5 separate regions of the Mus musculus genome follow, and all the other regions are reported to be linked to region 4. Evidence: microRNA targets listed by miRTarBase, many of them from high-throughput screens and not tested one by one. Region 4 holds a microRNA gene; each other region holds the end of a gene's coding sequence.

Evidence for each region. The annotated mature microRNA mmu-miR-297b-5p reads AUGUAUGUGUGCAUGAACAUGU and lies in region 4 at 1,265-1,286, shown strand. An mRNA with a match to its seed (bases 2 to 7 or 8) in the 3' UTR can be bound and repressed. Matches are read on the target gene's strand: a 7mer-m8 pairs with bases 2 to 8, a 7mer-A1 pairs with bases 2 to 7 and ends in A, and an 8mer does both.
Region 1: the mRNA of Ell2 is a reported target of mmu-miR-297b-5p. Seed matches in the 3' UTR shown: 7mer-m8 at 2,566-2,572, 7mer-m8 at 2,562-2,568, 7mer-m8 at 2,558-2,564, 7mer-m8 at 2,554-2,560, 7mer-m8 at 2,550-2,556, 7mer-m8 at 2,546-2,552 and 13 more.
Region 2: the mRNA of Il21 is a reported target of mmu-miR-297b-5p. Seed matches in the 3' UTR shown: 7mer-m8 at 881-887, 7mer-m8 at 877-883, 7mer-m8 at 873-879, 7mer-m8 at 869-875, 7mer-m8 at 865-871 and 7mer-m8 at 861-867.
Region 3: the mRNA of Tmem26 is a reported target of mmu-miR-297b-5p. Seed matches in the 3' UTR shown: 7mer-m8 at 1,312-1,318.
Region 5: miRTarBase lists Abcc9 as a target of mmu-miR-297b-5p. Seed matches in the 3' UTR shown: 7mer-m8 at 1,500-1,506 and 7mer-m8 at 1,986-1,992.

Annotation. Positions count from the first base shown.
Region 1 is chr13:75,770,371-75,773,946 of GRCm38, reverse strand. It overlaps Ell2 (elongation factor for RNA polymerase II 2), which reads right to left. Exons shown (of 12, transcript NM_138953.2): 11 at 3,357-3,401; 12 at 1,586-3,267. The coding sequence ends at 3,151. Among named protein-coding and RNA genes, the nearest start is that of Ell2, 65 kb to the right of the region's middle.
Region 2 is chr3:37,222,260-37,225,835 of GRCm38, forward strand. Il21 (interleukin 21) reads right to left here. Exons shown (of 5, transcript NM_021782.3): 4 at 3,190-3,267; 5 at 500-3,101. The coding sequence ends at 3,078. It overlaps Gm36168 (a long non-coding RNA gene), which reads left to right and starts at 2,138. Exons shown (of 4, transcript XR_389693.2): 1 at 2,138-2,229; 2 at 2,974-3,181.
Region 3 is chr10:68,778,286-68,781,861 of GRCm38, reverse strand. Tmem26 (transmembrane protein 26) reads right to left here. Exons shown (of 6, transcript NM_177794.3): 6 at 1-3,423. The coding sequence ends at 3,005. Among named protein-coding and RNA genes, the nearest start is that of Gm32931, 43 kb to the left of the region's middle.
Region 4 is chr2:10,510,422-10,513,794 of GRCm38, forward strand. Mir297b (microRNA 297b) reads left to right here and starts at 1,246; the gene lies at 1,246-1,354. All of the region lies in intron 10 of Sfmbt2 (Scm-like with four mbt domains 2), which reads left to right. It overlaps Mir466d (microRNA 466d), which reads left to right and starts at 1,546; the gene lies at 1,546-1,641. It overlaps Mir669m-1 (microRNA 669m-1), which reads left to right and starts at 2,369; the gene lies at 2,369-2,466. It also overlaps Mir669m-2 and Mir466n.
Region 5 is chr6:142,587,378-142,590,953 of GRCm38, reverse strand. It overlaps Abcc9 (ATP-binding cassette, sub-family C (CFTR/MRP), member 9), which reads left to right. Exons shown (of 40, transcript NM_011511.2): 40 at 451-3,092. The coding sequence ends at 588. Among named protein-coding and RNA genes, the nearest start is that of Kcnj8, 18 kb to the right of the region's middle.

The sequences.
Region 1 (3,576 bases), not on the chromosome of region 4:
TGCTGCTTTAGCGTGGGCGCCTTGACATGGCAGGAACCATTGGTACTGGACAGCAGGAAGTGAGAGTAGTTAGGCAGAGCAGGGTGAGCACAAAACACCACAATCAGCTGTAAAACCCAATGGGAAACCATCAAGTCTGATGGGCAGGCAAGAAGCCCTAGGCTGTCTAAGGCAAACATGCCTGCTAGTCACGTGGGCTCGCCTTCTGGAAGCTTCCTCCTGAGTTTCATAGACTTGAAAAGGGTACTTACTGTCTACTTGTAAGTTCCCATGCTGTACTAATATCCAATCACAGAAGGAAAAACCAGCCTGGTGGGTCAGTTGAACCAGGCAGGCAGAAGTTGAAAATGACATGTCTCTGATTCCCAATTTGAGAATTACGCAATCGTAAAGTATCAGAGCCACCTGTAGCCACTGCTCTCCTGCTAGTGCAATCTCTGAGGAGCAAAACCAGAAGAGCAGGTATGCATACGCCTGGCACTCAATAAACCCCAATACTCCGCCTCGAAATCTGAAGCCTATCTCTGCCTTACCCCTCTGCAGTCAGTCAAAATGGACTTACTCTCATGTGAAAAGCAGTGATTCCACACATTATCTGCGTTGCACAGATATTTAATTACCTAATTTAGGTGGCTAGTTTTCATTGAATTCTCAAAAGCTTTATGTAATGAAACTTCAACCCCTACCCAATGAAGAGGTATAGCTTTAAGAAGGGTTGCTGACACAATGACGACTTTGGGACCCTCCATTTATCTTTGAGGATCACCAGAGTCACGGCTGGCATCAACTGTTGCAGGTTTTCAATGCCAGGGCTCAATGGATGCCTTTACTTTTTTTCTGCCTTGTTTCCTCAGAAAATGATTAGAAACTCAAGTACAGATTCAGCTGGGGTGGTCTCATGCCTAATTCAAATTGAGCATCTGCTAAAGCTGGAGTATATACATTCAAGGTTTCAAGATTAGGGACTTAAAATTTAGAGCTATATCTAAGCCAATTATACATTAGCTTGCAACTGTCACTGCAATGACCTTGTGAAAATGTGGGTGCCTGGTCTCTCCCAAGAGACTGTAGTGTGGGTAATGCAAGCAAGCCATTCAACACCCTTACTTTTGAGAAACATTGCCCATAGCAAAGAACAGCAACAATCTCAGTGAAAGGCCAACACTTCAGAGTGTACTCCTGAAGTCATTATGTCAAGAGATCTACGATGATAATGTGAGGCCCCAATTTAGCCATAACTAAGCTTCTTTTCTTCTTTTTAAACTCAAAAGATTGAGATAAACTTCTACTTAATAATGACTGTAGCACTATCAAGGTAAAAGAGCACCAGGGATCTCAAAACTGAAATGGAAGTCTCCAGAAGGCCATGCAGAGATGGAATGTGTGCAGTGATACCAGAGTTGTAGCGTCAGAGGAATCTTGGCTTCAGTGCTTGGCTGCCTCTGTGCTTTGGATCCATTACCCAGTCTTTCCAGTTGACATTTCAGGAAAACTCCACAAGAAAGTTAATCAACATATACTGCCACAAGGCCTCAGTACTAACATTTTCTACTTTACAGTGATACACGTCAAAATTATTCACTTATTTTTGGATGCTGAAGACAAACATCTTTATTAAAGATACTACCAAAATTTTGGCAAACATTTCAAAACAGATTTGTAAACATAATGCTTCCCTTTTCAACTGGCAGCACTTTGAGACAATACAAGACAACCTGAATCAACTTTAGTTCAAAATCTTTATATTTTGACCACATAACTTATGTTCCCACATGATAAGACAAGTGATAGTTTAAATCAACGTTAACAGATAAACTCCATGAAATGAAAGTTTGTGCTATTTGATGAGTCACAGTATGTTATGGTTAAATATATCTACTCTTTTTATATTCCTGGGATCCAGGATGAAAAAAAATTTAAATATACATCTGATGTAGGTAATAGCTTCTTTGCATATCTTTCTTCAAAAAATACTTTATAGCAGTATATAAATAGGTTACCTACACATTTATTTTTGTCATTTTGCCCCAAAACTATAAGATCTGTTTCATTTTCATAACATATCATTTTTTGCCCAACATTAATAAAGCTGACAAACTGTTGAAATGGAAATGCTTTTGTCTTCCACAATAGAAGTAGCAATTTGACAGAAACAAACAAAAACCAAGCAAACACACACCAACAAGCTACTGCAACACTCGTCAGCTCTTTAACCTGAGTGTCCGGCCTACTGAGAGTAGCAGCTTTTTAACCTTCACACAGCTCACATCCACAGCAGCTCTGCAGACAGACAAGCAGAACACACAGGTTCTGATGCTGGTAGGCCACAGTGTGCTTCCCGGGCTGGGGCTGTTATCACTGGGAAGCAGTGTAGCTACTGGTTAACCACATGATGTACACAACTAGCAAACACCTTAAGGCAGCCATTGCAATGGGGGTTTAACTTTTAGGGCAGATTTAACACTCTAGAGCCAGACAGCCCGTATGTATGTATGTATGTATGTATGTATGTATGTATGTATGCATGTATGTATGTATGTATGTATGTATGTATGTATGTATGTATGTATGTGTATAGAAAACTATACACATTCACTTTCTATTTTTCAACCCTCCAAAAACAATGTTTTGATTTTTTGTACTTTGTGCAAATGTCTAAATATTCTACCATTTAAGGCAAAGAGTTTACATTAAGAAAGGTCAGAAAATAGGCTTTTGTTTATCCAAAAGCTTTTCACCTTGCACATTACTGTTTTGTCTTGTTTTAAACACACGCAATTCTTTGCATCTGTATGGACTTTGCATCCCCGATATCTAAAAAAAAAAAAAATCATCGCTAATGACAAAGACAAGTTATCAAGGAAAATTGATTTGAAGTATAGACACTGGATCCCCAATCTCTTAAAAATTGCTTCTATTAACAAACAAGTTGGGGGTTGGGGGTGGGTGGTTGGGGAGAGGACCAGAAAAAAAGCAGCTTCAAAATTCAGGGCAGCAAAGTAAAATAGAGAGGAAAAAAAGTAACTCAAGTTTACTAATACTGAAACTTCCAACAAGCAAAGTTTCATCTTTTAGAATCTAGAGCAACTCATCTGGAATTTTAAATAAATAAGCTTTAGTTTATTCACATCTTCTGGTCCAAGCAGAGCTTTAGTGCCATGACTCTGCTTGCTGTTGGTCAAATTCACCTATTAGTCTTTTGATGTGAGCCAGCTTGTTATGAAGATATTCACATCTGTATTTTTCTTCATGGTAATTGGGACTGGACTGTAGACAAAGAAAATAGTGAGGCATTAGGTCACAGAATTTACCCTGCTTCTCACTGTAGGCCAGAAAGGCAAAGGCGTGGTACTCACCTGCTTGATCTTCTGATATTCCTGTAAGACTTCTTCATGAACATTCTGTAAAGTTATAAATTACAATTAAGAAGAGTATGGTACTACATCTAACAAGAAGAGTTAGTACTATATCTAACAAGCACCTGGAAGGTGTAGGAAATACTGATGAGATATAACTTGAGACATTTGTCCCAATTTGGCAATTTGGCAGCAGCTATCAAAACAGCAAATGCAAACT
Region 2 (3,576 bases), not on the chromosome of region 4:
CATGCGTGAGAGTCTGGGCTGTGACCATGAGAGTGGCAGTGGGTAAAGTACACAAGTGCTCACATGGAGATGGTCAAGGTTCTGGGAGTTTCCCACTGAGAATCCTCCCCACTGAGGTCACCTGAGAGGGGAGCAGAGATTGGCAAGGAACATACCTAAGTCCTTGATGAGCACAGCCTGGTAACCCACAGACGCAGACAAGAAACATTGAGAATAAGAGACAGATGGCCAGATGAGAGCGACATGAACCCAGAACTGCAGTCTACATGGGACACACTTGTGAGACAAGCAAGTTTCAACCACTTCAAGCCTGCCAGGCATTCAGAGGGTGGTCTGCAAAGAGAGTGGGGTCTTTGAGCAAGAACACGGGATACTTCTATCTTAGTGGCAGTCAATAAGAAGTAAACATCTGTGCTGTAGCCATATAAAACCTATGCACCCACCTTTTCTACCAGGTTGGTTGCATTAAGGACATTCAGAGAATCACAACAGACAGTTGTTCTGACTGGGTAGCATTTAATATGATCAGGTCTTAAATAAGAAGCCATGAACACAAACATTCAAAACCAAATACATAATAAATAATCATTAAGTTATAAAGTACATCATTCATATTAAAACTAAATTCTCAGGTGTGACTGTAAATAAAACAGAGCAATAACATAGATCAATAATGCTATGAATTTATTCACAAAGAAAACACTTTCAGCTACAGTATTAACGGCCATAACTGATTTCCTCTGAACTCCTATGACCTACAACAACCTCTCTCTCTTTCTCTCTCTCTCTCTCTCTCTCTCTCTATATATATATATATATACATATATATATATATATATATGTATATATATATATATATATGTATGTATGTATGTATGTATGTATGTATATCCCTTCCCTTTTTGAACAACTAAATATCACACTTGGGATAAAATTTAACTCAAAAGTGTGGTCAGGTGTTCCTGTAAGAGTACTCAAAACATTAAAACTCAGACATACGAAGTTCAGAATAAAATACAGAATAGACTTAGGAAAGCCCCACATTCTTGTTCTACAGATAAGAGAATGAAAACCAAAAAAAGCTTACACCAGTGGCAACCTTCATGGACACACAACAGTGTGTCAGGTCCAATGTGTTCCCACCCACAGTGAACAATAATGTCAAAGGACTGGCTGAGTCTTGAGCACAGAGAGGTTCAAGACTGCTGTGCAATTTTGTCTAGTTTACTCTAAAGCGTAGCTTTCCCATGGCTAGTGGAGAAGCCTTCACTGGCTTTTCCAAACGATACAAGCTCTTAGCCTGTGCTGCATTGAATTATTTGTACTTCTTGATTAGAAATTGTCAGTGATTTAAAAGGCTAGAACAATAAACACACCAAAATAAATACATTGTCTTAAATATAAAAATCACAATGTCAAGAAGTCAACAGTTACACAGCCAGAAACAACAAAAGAATAAAACATGGAGACTCCCCTCTCTGTCCATCATTGCTTTGTGAAGGACTGCATCTCTGCTTCAGCTTTCGAGCAGCAAACTCAGCAACCAATGCTAGCACCATTGGACACTTACGTGGGCTATGTGTGTATAATGTCATCAACAGTCACACATTTACAGTTACACAAGTTCTTTGCAATACATATTTTTAAAGTTTAAGAGAATGCGTTGGTTCTGATTGTGACACTTTTCTGGGAATCAGTTAACACTAGTCTGTGCTATCTTAGGGCGGTACACGGGATCTCTGCTTGTTTTAAAGGCACTGTGAGGTACAGACACCTTTTTCCTTAGATCAAAACCATCCCCCAGGCCATGCTTGGATCTCAGATCCATTTTAACCATAAGAAATTCTCAAAGCGATGATACCACTCCAGGGAAAATAGCTTTGTAGACTTTTTAACTTGACATTGAAACATACTGTTGGAAATTATATCAAATGGCAAAACTATTTGCTCAATTTAGCCTCTGTGGTTAAAAGATTGGGATGTTCAGTAAAAGTCTGTTTAAAACTGGAACAGAACCTCTGGTCTCTTGGCTCATCTCCTGATTTTGATTTTAAATAGATGGTTGGATTTAACTTATCAAAAGTGTGCATGCAATGTGTCTTAAGTGCTGAACTTGTTTGGATTGCTTTTTCTTAGAAGTTTCAAAGAGGAAAGAAAGGAAAGGATGTGGGAGAGGAGACTGAGGCTGGAGCTAGCAGATTCATCACAGGACACCCATAACCACTTGAGGTGAGAGCTACAAACTTGAAAATTCTACTTGGCTCCAGAAGATAGTGAGGTTTGCACTTCCACAGGCTTTCATTGCCATCTTCACAAGATTAAACTATTAGCTTATAAAGGAACTTGACATTGGGAGGAAGGCAACTTAAGCCTGCTTCTTACTACACCCTTGCCTCTTTAGAAAAACAGTGAAAGCCAGGGGTGACCCTCATAATAGGTTAAATTTTGATAGACCTAATAGAGAAGAAAAACTGTACCTATCTGGAAAGCCTCTCTTGTAGAGTATAAAGATGTTAGTTATCAATATGCTAGATGTTTGTGGTAATGAGTAAACTCTTCAGACATGCTTTCAAGTACAAAGTTTTTCTTAAAGAATAAAGACTTCAATTTTCAATTTCATCTTATGCTTATTATTTCCAGCTTACATCATTCCGTTAGGATCATAAGAGGTCTTACTCTCGCAGATCGACAAATTCCCTAGCTGTATTTTTGCTAAAAGCTTTAGTTTTCCCCTTCCAATCAAAGAATGTCACAGTTGGGCAATAAGATGAAGCCACAGCTTGAGAAGCACCAGAAATCCCTGACACGGGAAGCTGGGCTCTTGTTGAGTTGAGATTTTCCATGTTGACAGCATGGAGTCTGTGCAGGGAACCACAATGTCTGCTTAGTTAATGGGCGAAAGGATCTTAACCTATAGCTTTTCTGAGTTGTTCTTATCATAACGTATCGTACTTCTCCACTTGCAATCCCAAGAGGCAAGATGTACTCCTGCATTCGTGAGCGTCTATAGTGTCCGGCGTCTCCTCAGTCCTCGGGAATCTTCTCGGATCCTCAGGAATCTTCGGGTCCTATGTGTTCTAGGAGAGATGCTGATGAATCATCTGTGGGAACGAGAGCCTATGAGTCACTGGGCACAGGAGGTACCCGGACACAACATGGAAGTGAAAGAAATGCATTTAAGGTGCATACCTTTTGAAGGAGCCATTTTAGTCTTTCTAGGAATTCTTTGGGTGTCCTTTTCTCATACGAATCACAGGAAGGGCATTTCTGTAAATCAAAATTAATCAATTAATTAATTAATTAATTTTAAAACTTTAAAAATTATTTTTTAAGAACTAACTTCATACTTCATAAAATACTTATGTAAAATTCATTTCTTCTCTTGTGAACATAAATCATATTCAGTAACAAGCATTAGGAAAATTCTGTAAAATTGTTCTGGAAACCACGTGTGATTTTATCCTCAGAGACAACTCTGAATATTTTGGTGTTTAAATTATTATATCCGTTTTTTGTCCCCTTTCTTCCTCTTCCTCTTCCTCGCCCTCCTCCTCCTCTGCATTCTTGTTACCCTGG
Region 3 (3,576 bases), not on the chromosome of region 4:
TCCTGAGGTTGTGTCCACACAGCATCATGTAAACATGGTCACGGGGTTTTCTCACTAGTGGGTGAATATGCTTGCAGAAAGAATAGCTGGTTGAACTTAATGAATCAGCAACAGCTTCAGCAATTGTAAGTGAAGTCCCCTCCTCAGGGGTAGGGGGTGGGGCTTCACGTGTACTGTGGCTAGAATGGAGTCTACGTGATTAAGCTGTCTCACTACAAATAAAATGTAAACAAGTCTCAAGACTCCGACGTAAAAGAGATGACTGATATTCTGTTCCGTTTATGACAAACACTTGGATATCTAAAAACATCACAATGTGCATGAGCCTACAGTAAAAACATACAGTTTTAAGGGGTAAAATAATATTAATAATTATAAACATACAACTGAGTATATTTTTAGCGTTTCATCAGAGATAAAACCTAGACTAAGCAAACAGACATTTTTCCTATGATCAAAGCAGCCAGCATAAGGAAATGGAAACACTGGCAGTTAAGTTAAATGCTGTCTTTAGCAGATTTTCCTGGAAAAGCCTTGAAGACTGTGTGTCTATTTTTGACCATCCATTAATTACCAAGCTGGTCCTGGGTGCTCTCTGACTTCCTGGCATTCCAAATTAAGCCAGATTTTGGACAGGCCTGAGGAGGAGGGCTGTCCAAATACTTTATTGAAACACAAGAAAGTCTTTCACGAAACCACGCCAAGCCTTAGATTCAAAAGCACTTAAAATTATCCCTCCAACAGTCATACTATGTGATGGTTTATTTTTGGAGGTTCAGTGTTTGTTATTGAGGAAAAATAATCACAAAAATATGCTGTGAGCAATTAGGCAGTAAGGAGTGGCTCATATACATCATAGGGGCACATATATGTCATGGGGGCACATATATGTCATAGGGGCACATACATGTCATGGGGGCACATGTAAGTCATAGGGGCACATACATGTCATGGGGGCACATATATGTCATGGGGGCACATATATGTCATTGGCACATGTATATATATATATCATGGGGTGCATGTGTGTCATAGGGGCACATGTATATCATAGGGGTACATATATGTCATAGGGGCACATATATGTCAAAGGGGCACATATATGTCATGAGGACACATGTTTGTTATGGGGCACATACCTGTCATTGGGACACATATATGTCATGTATTCAGCACAAAGCATCCAGCACACTTAGTGGAGACTGGGGCAGTTTGAGAAATAGTATTGTTTTTTTTTTTCTGTTTTTCTTCCCATTGCTGACGTTTTTATTGTAAAATATTTTCATTATTTTTAATAAATCTGCATGTGTGTGTATGTGTACACACGAATGCAGTCAGTTCTCACAGAGGCTAGAAGTAGACCCCTCAAAAGCTGGAGTTACAAGTGGATATAAGACCTACTGAGTAGATTTTGGGATAAATCCTGATCCTCTGCAAGAGCAATACATGCTTTTAACCAAGCTCCCAAATCTCATTGATAAGAACTTTGAATAACACACCTTTAAAATTTGACCTTAACTTGCATACACTTATTATGAAAAATTACCAATGCATTCCATTCATTTCGTGAACCGTTTACAACCATGACACTGTTAAAAACAAAAAGCCCAAGGGATAAAAGAAGGAGAAATTACTAGAAAAACAGTTGTGGCTTTGTATAAAATAGAATGTGTTTATATACTTGTTATCAAACATAGTGGATAAATACCATACCAGAAATTCATAGATTTAAAAAAAAAATTGTCCCAACTGATTGTCTAATGGTTGCCTCCAATTTAGGAAGTTTCCTGAATAAACATCTTTGGGTTCCTGGGGATTCTAGCATAGCTTGGCTGATGCTTTGAACTCTAACACTACAGTTTTAGAGCGCTTCCGAAAATTGCCAAGTCACAATTATATTTAAAAGCAAGAGCTACTTTCAAAAGTTTGGAGTTATTTCCACCCAGAATGTACAGAGCTGTGGAAGAGACCGACTATTTCGTTCATGGGAAATGAAGCCACCATGATTCCCAGGAGGCATGAGACTGGCACCAACTGCCACCAACTTGTTCCTGAAACCAGGCTGGGGCCGCTGGTGGTATTTCCCAGGCTTCAGGCCGAACTCTGTTAGTGTTGCTGCTCCTGCAGAGGCTGCTGGCCCCTACCAGAAACCATGGTAACACTAAAGGGCCTCAAATTCCTTCATCACTGCATGCTAGTGCTCTTTGAAATTGATCCCATGATGCACCTTGACAACTTAGAAAAAGGTAATCAGGTATTCAGATGTCAACGGTCCCGTAAATTGCATTAGGTAGAAAGTGTGCCTTGCAGCTGTCTCACTCACTATGAAGTTGCTAGAACCCAAGTGGCTTGCTGTAAACTTTGTGCTACCCAAGTCCAAAGCCATCACGATGCTCTAAGAACACATGGAATGTCACCTTGGTCTAGGAAAAGGGCATTCCTGTAAAGGCCTGTGCAGCTACCTCAGCTATTTTTCTGCACCGAGGAAGCAGGGCAGTACTAGCTCCCAACTTCCAGCAAATTGATTTTAAAATCATTTTCCTCTCTTTTGTTCAGCGTTCACTGAATATACATTTTTTGTTTTAATGTCAGAGGGACATTGCAAAAAACCTCAGATGAGAGAGTGACGTAGTCCAGCCAGTCAAAAGCTGTAGTACTAGGCACCCAAGGAGAGCAAGGAATAGGGAAGGGGGTGGTAAATGTCTGCCTTAAATCTTTGAAGGGTGTGCTATGCCGTTCTGTCTACAGCTTTTCAAGCAGTTCCATAAAAACCAATCATTTAGAATGGTTCTCGGAGCGGTGTAATGTCCGCTACCAGAGCAGGAGGTTGTAGAGACAGCCATTCGACGTCAAAGTTCCTTCCACTCAGATGAAAAAAAAAATTATCTTGGCTTTGATACAAGATCATCTTTTTGTATTGTTTCCTTAAAAAACTGGTGTATGCAAACATGGGGGCGTAAGAAGGAACGAGTTAAGCCTCGCAGCTTCATGTTGGAAGCAATAACTAAGGTGTCGTCGGGTAAGACTCCTCGGAGGTGACAGGTGAGGTTCGCAAAGGCAGAGCCTCCGGGGAAGCATCCTCCCATTCACTGGGACCACTCTCAGAGGGCTGGTCTGGGCCACTGTGCTCCGGTTTGGGGCTTTCTGGATGATCTCGCATGAAGTCCCTCGTGGCCATAATCAAAGCCACAAGTCGGTAGAAGTGCAGAGCCATCACTAGGGAATTCTTCACGGCAAAGAACACCAACATGTGGTTGATCACTTTAAAGTAGATCATCAGGACGAGGCGCACAACCAGGAAGGGACCGTCTTGGATGAAGAAGCTGAGACCAATGGCCCATAGATCCGCACTGTACTGGCACAGGAAAACCCTAAGGAAGCCCCTGGCTTTCACTGAGGCGGGGCATACCAGTTTCAACTGGACTGGAGGAAAAATGAAAGAAACAACGGTTAACATTTGGAAATGCAAAGGGGAGAGAGGCATGGGACAGCCATTAGGGTGGTCTTGTTGTGAAAGAGGGAGAATGGCCCTCCAGGTTAATGTGGAGGAATAGGGGGCATTTCTTCACCTCAACT
Region 4 (3,373 bases):
GATTTAGAGATAAGCCTGTGATTCATGTGATGCCTTAAGTGTACATGCAGGTTTGTATAGTTGTGTGTGTATGTTCATGTGTCTATATGGATATACATAACATATACATAGACATATAAACCCTAGCGTGCACACACACACACACACACACACACACACACACACACACACACACACGAATAACATTCATAGATCCATTTATATGATATGCCACCTAGAATATTAGAAATTATTCAGTACTGGGCCAGTGAGTGCTGTCATTTTCTAGGTAAAAATGCTTGCTAGAATCAGGAGTATCAGGAGTTCAAATTCATGCTTATCTTCAGGAGGATATAGATATCTGCCTGTGATTCATGTGATTGCCACCCATGTATGTGCATGGGTGTATAGTTTTGTGTACATGTGCATGTGTGTATATGAATAGACATAACATGCACATACATATAAACACAAGCACACACACACACAGAGACACAGGAATGACACTCATCGATCCATCTGAATGATAGGTGACTTAGAGTTTTAGAGATTATGCAGTAGTGGGACAGTGAATGGTCTCAATCACCAGGTGTAAACCACAGAGTCAGGAGGATCAGGAGTTCAAATCCATGCTTAATTTCAGTTGGAGATCATCCTGGTATTTCTGTGATGCTACCCATGTATGTGCATGTGTGCTTACTTGTATGTGCATGTGCATGTGTTGATATGAATATACATAACATAAACACACGTGTATATGCAGGCACACACACACAGAAGAAATTGCATTCGTCGTTACGTTTGAATGATATATGACTTAGAGCTTTAAGAGTATGTATTACTGGGCCAATGAAACGTCTTACTTACCAGTAAAAATGTTTGTTATATTCAGATGGATCAGGGGTCCAAATTCATGAGTAATTTCAAAATGACATAGAGATCAGCCTGACTTCACGGGGTTCCCCCCAATGTATGTTTATGTGTGTATAGTTTATGTGCATGTGCATGTGTGCATATGCATATACATATACATCCATACAAACATATAGAAGTAGCACAGATACACAGACACACACACACACACCCATCAATCATTTTGAATGACAGGTGACTTAGAGTTTTAGAAATTATGCTGTGCTGGGCCAGTGAGTGCTCTTAGTCAAAAGGTAAAAATGCTTGCCAGAGTCAGGAGGATGAGCAGTCAAAATTCATTCTCAACTTCATGATGAGTCTGGGATCAACTTCGGATTCATGTGATGCCCCCAATCTATTTGCTTGTGTGTATATGTATGTGTGCATGAACATGTGTATATGAATATACATATACATACACACATACCCATACAAACATGCATACAAACACACAGAAAATGGATACTCATTGTTCTATTGAATGATATGTGTCTTAGAGTCTTAGAGATTCTGTATGACTGGGCCAGGGAGAGGTCACACTCACCATGTGACGCCCCTTGCCAGAGTCAGGGTGATCAGGAGTGCAAATTCATGTTAACTGCGTGATGAGGTAGAGATCAGCCTGTCATTCATGTGATGGCCCCTGTGTATGTGCATGTGTGTTTGTGTGTGCGTACATGTACATGTGTGTATATGAATATACATATACATACACGCACACATAGATACGCACGCACACACACACACAGGGATGGCACTCATCAATCCATTTGAATGATAAGTGACTTAGAGTGAAAATGCTTACTAGAGTTAAGAGTATCAGGAGTTCAAATTCATACTTATCCTCATGAGAATTTAGAGATCAGCCTGTGATTTATGTGATTCCTCCATGTATGTGCATGTGTGTATAGTTGTGTGTGCATGTTCATGTCTATATTTGAATATACATAACATACACACACACGTATAAACGCAAGCACACATACACAGATACAGGAATGGCATTCGCCAATCCCTTTGAATGATAAGTCATGTAGAGTTTTAGAGATTATGCAATAGGGGACATTGAATGGTCTCACCCACCAGGTGTAAAAGATTGACAAAGTCAGGAGGATAAAGATTTCAAATTCATGCTTAATTCAGTTAGAGATCATCCTGGTATTCATGTGATGCCACCCATGTATGTGCATGTGTGTTTACTTGTATGTGCATGTGCATGTGTTGACATGAATATACATAACATAAACACATGTGTATATGCAAGCACACACACACACACACAGAGAAAAAATTGCATTCATTTATATGTTTGAAAGATATGTGACTTAGAGCTTTAGCAATTATGTAGTACTTGGCCAATGAAACTTCTTACTTACCAGTAAAATGTTTTTCATATTCAGATGGATCAGGAGTTCAAATTCATGAGTAACTTCAAAATGGTGTACAGATCAGCCTGGCTTCATGGGATCCTCCCCAATGTATGTGCATGTGTGTATAGTTTTGTGTGCATGTGCATGTGTGTATATGAATAGACATATACATCCACACAAACATATACAAGCAAGCACAGATACACACACAGGAATGGCACTCATCGATCCATTTGAATGATAGGTGACTTAGAGTTTTAGAGACTGCAGTAGTGGGACAGTGAATGGTCTCAGTCACCAGCTGTAAATGATTGACAAAGTCTGGAGAATCAGGATTTCAAATTCATGATTAACTTCAGTTAGAGATTATCCTGGTATTCCTGTGATGCCACCCATGTATGTGCATGTGTGTTTACATGTGTGTGCGTGTACATCTGTGTAAATGAATATATATATATATATATATATATACATATATATATATATATATATATATATATATATATATATATAACATAAACATACATGTATATGGACACACGTATGCACACATACACACAAGGAATGGAATTCATTGATATGTTTGAATGATATGTGATTTTGAGCTTTAAAGGTTATGTAGTACTGGTCAAATGAAAGTTTTTCTCACTATGTAAAAGCTTGCCATATTCAGAGGGGTCAGGAATTCATATTCATAAATAAATTCAAAAGAGAGTAGAGATCAGCCTGATTTTATGGGGTTCCCCACAATATATTTGCATGTGTGTATAGTTTTGTGTGCATGTGCATGTGTGTATATGAATATACATATACATCCACACAAACATATACAAGCATGCACAGATATACACACACACAGAAATGGCACCCATAGATCATTTTGAGTGACATGTGACATGTGACATGTGAGTTTTAGAGAGTATGCCGTGCTGGGCCAATGAATGCTCTCACTCACAAGGTAAAGACCCTTGCCAGATTCAGGATGATCAAGAGTGTAAATTCATGTTGGTTGCATGATGAGTTGGAGATCAGCCTGGCATTCATGTGATGGCTCCTGTGTATGTGCATGTGTGTTTGTGTGTGCGTACATGTACATGTGTGTATATGAATAT
Region 5 (3,576 bases), not on the chromosome of region 4:
ATGTTGAATGCCAGAATAGACTTCTCCAGATTTCCAGACCAGAGTCTCTCAGGGTCCTTTTTATTATTTGTTAATCCAGGTATTTAGTGGGCTCACACATGAACTAACTATAATCAAGAATAAAATAGAACCGAGCTGGTTCATATGGGCTCCCTTTGGCATTTCACTGAGGCACATTTATTACTGTGTACAGTTGTCAAGTTTCAGTGCAACAGTGAGTAATGGCTGCACTGAAGTTAAGACAGAGCAAACAAAACCCCACCATGCTGGCTGGCATTTAAAAGCATATAAATGAATTAATTAATTCATACAAGGAAAGGGTATTTCTTGGTACACCCAAAGTAAAAAGAAGCAACCATGCATGACCAGTCTGTGAGATATTCATATTCACCGTCTTGGCTCTTGTGCTCAAATTCATAGCAAATGTCGATGTTTCTCACGTTCACGCAGCATCGGGTTCACACCATTCTGACTGCAGACCTGGTTATTGTGATGAAGAGAGGAAATATTTTGGAATACGACACCCCGGAAAGCCTCTTGGCCCAGGAAGATGGAGTGTTTGCCTCGTTTGTCCGTGCAGACATGTGACAGGATTGTCTCTCAACAGCACAAGTACTTCAATGCCTACCGTCGGCCCACCTGAGCGGTCTTCACCTTTGCCAACTTTGACGGATTTCTGTGTGGAGAGTTGAGATTTCTATTTCCTGTTTTGGTTTAACAGTTTCTGAGATACGTGTGTTATAGGTTCATTTACTACGATCTGTCCACACTCGAAAAGTAGGCTACATTAAATCATGCTAGCAGCCTTAAGAGGTAAAGCCATTGGAGAGAAGTGTCAAGCATGGGAGCTAAAATGAGTAATCTGTGTTACCACACTCTTAGTACTATCATTTTTTTTTTTGAGACAGGGTTTCTCTGTATAGCCCTGGCTGTCCTGGAACTCACTCTGTAGACCAGGCTGGCCTCAAACTCAAAAATCCACCTGCCTCTGCCTCCCAAGTGCTGGGATTAAAGGCGTGCGCCACCACCACCCAGCTGTTACCACACTCTTATTTGGAAGACTAGCATGACCTTGCTGTTGATGTGCCCATGTAGCAGGGTAAAAGAAAATTCATTTTCTAACAAAATACTCACATTCATGATCTACTGTAGGAGAATATTTTCTATGCATTTAACATTATTAATATTGGTTTTAACTTTTCCCTTTTAAATAATTTCCTGTCATCAAGAAGCTATCACATTTTTGGTACCTCTATAAAGCTAACCCTTCACAAAAGAAAAGATCACCAAAAGGGGTTGTATATTTGAAAACATTATACTTGTATCCATTTTCCTCTGTTCAACAAAGAGAAAGTTCAAGTTAGCTTCAGTCCTTCAGTGATAGGCAACCTAGGTTTTCTAGAGTTTAATTCTTTATCAGCCAGGCAATGACTCTGAACTCTGAAATGCTATATTATTTAGGACCCAAAAGAAAATGGATCAATGGCCTTATCTGTTACACATACACACACACACACACACACACACACACACATTTTCACAGCATAGCTTGGCTTTATGCTAATCTTGGCATGTGCACATTCCTCAGAGGTACCAGGTATTCCCAGCCATGCATCTCTGTGGGAAGATAGAAGAATCTCATGCTCTGCAGTTACATAGGTAGCAAGGGTTTATTTTTACTTGGGCAAATTTCAGTGATAGGCATTGAGATCATGCATTCGACCATTTGTCCTGTTCTAATTATGAAGAGCGTACCAGAAGTCTGTATGATATTAGTGTCATATTTCATTCAAATGCCAATTAATAAAGCAAAGCTGACTGAAGTTGCCTCCCCTGGTGTTCCACCATCCACAGTTTCTGTAACATTTACCCAGTGGACATGAGCGCTGCTGAATTTCATATAAGGGTCTTCACAGAAAATACATGTTCCTTCCCCGTGGTTCCTGTACTCATTTTAACGTGTTGTTTATTCTGTTTCACGACCTACATACAGTTCTTGTGCATCAGGATATATCAAGCTGCCTTCATGGCTATAGAATGTAATGTAAGAAAAATGTTCATAAATATGGACAAAAATGGTCCAGATTACTTAGTTTAAATAGCTACATTTTCTTCTGTATCTAAAACTTCGTTAGAAGAAAGTAATAGTATTATTTGCAGAAAGCCAGTCGATCACAGCCATTACCAATAAGTTCAACCTCAAAGTACTTCATAAAAATCTGACCAATCTACTAAAATACTGCAGGCGTGAAAGGTTCTGTTGGAGCTGAATGTCATGATGTTTATCATCCAGCAAGCCCTCCTTCTCACATAGCAACAGCATCCACCTACAGAAGCAGCCCCTCAGTGTAGCCACTTCACCACCCTGTGCACCCTAAGTGACTTTTGATTCCTTGAACCTTTTACTTACTTGAGGTGAGGAAATGTCTGATAATCTGCAAAACAAAACCTACCAAATGGAATCAGGGGCGACATCTCAGTCGGTCCGGCTGGCATTGCGTTGCTTGGGCTACCTCCGATGACAGAAACGTGCTTTTACTGTAGGTAAAACCATAAGAAAAGAAAATAATCTCAATTATTTTCAGAGCTAAAGTTTATATTGATCTTACCAAATCAACACCACACATATTTATTCTAACTATAAAAAGCAATAAATGCAAACAAAACAAAAAAGTTCATGGTAAAATGACGGAATCAGCATGTGAGTAAGGATCGCTTTCCTCAAAGGTTACCCTCCCACCCCCGCTATTTCTCATGATTCGTCAATATCTAGGTTAGGTATTGAAAGATCTTTCTAAGCATCTGGTACTATGATCAGGACCATATCCTGCCCATCTTTGGGCCCTTGGCACTAAAACAAGTGAATAGATCCAAGTGAATAAAGTAATTTCTCCATTGACTTTTTTTTTTAACTGCTAGTCATGTGGCTGTAACTATGGGTTGCTCTTTATTATTCCCTGATATGTTTATTCTATTTATTCTCAGTATATTAAATCTGTTTATTATGTACACTGTATGTTTACTCTCAATAGTACATGAGAACGTATTGGCTTACCTTATACAATAAATTAGTCCTTTTGTTTACTCAGTTATGGAGAGTAATGTTTCTTCCACAGACAGTTTCATTGAGTGTTAACCAGTCAACAGCTATAAATCAATATACTTGCCAGGCAGTAGTTAGCCTGCCTGCCTTCATGATTTGCAAGTGTCACATATGTGTCCTGTCACTTTTATGAACACACTCCAAGTCTATTTCCATTGAGGGGACCAACTCAAATACCCCAAAACTACATGCCAACTATTAGCAGAGAAAACACCAGTTGATAGTGTGCACCTGAAACTTAATTCAGTGACTGCAAGTTATTGATATCATTGATTTATTAAGTATTGGTAGGATTCACCTGATCAAACTCACCAAGGAAGAGATGTCTATATGTTTCTAGCAAGTGCCTCAGATGAGACTTATAATTGGCCAAGTTTGGGTTAAGTCACCTCAGCCTCTTCCCCCCCCCCATCCCCCACACTCACTATTTAGCTGAGGCTAGTGAACTCACGAGTGACCCTCTGGCCTCTGGA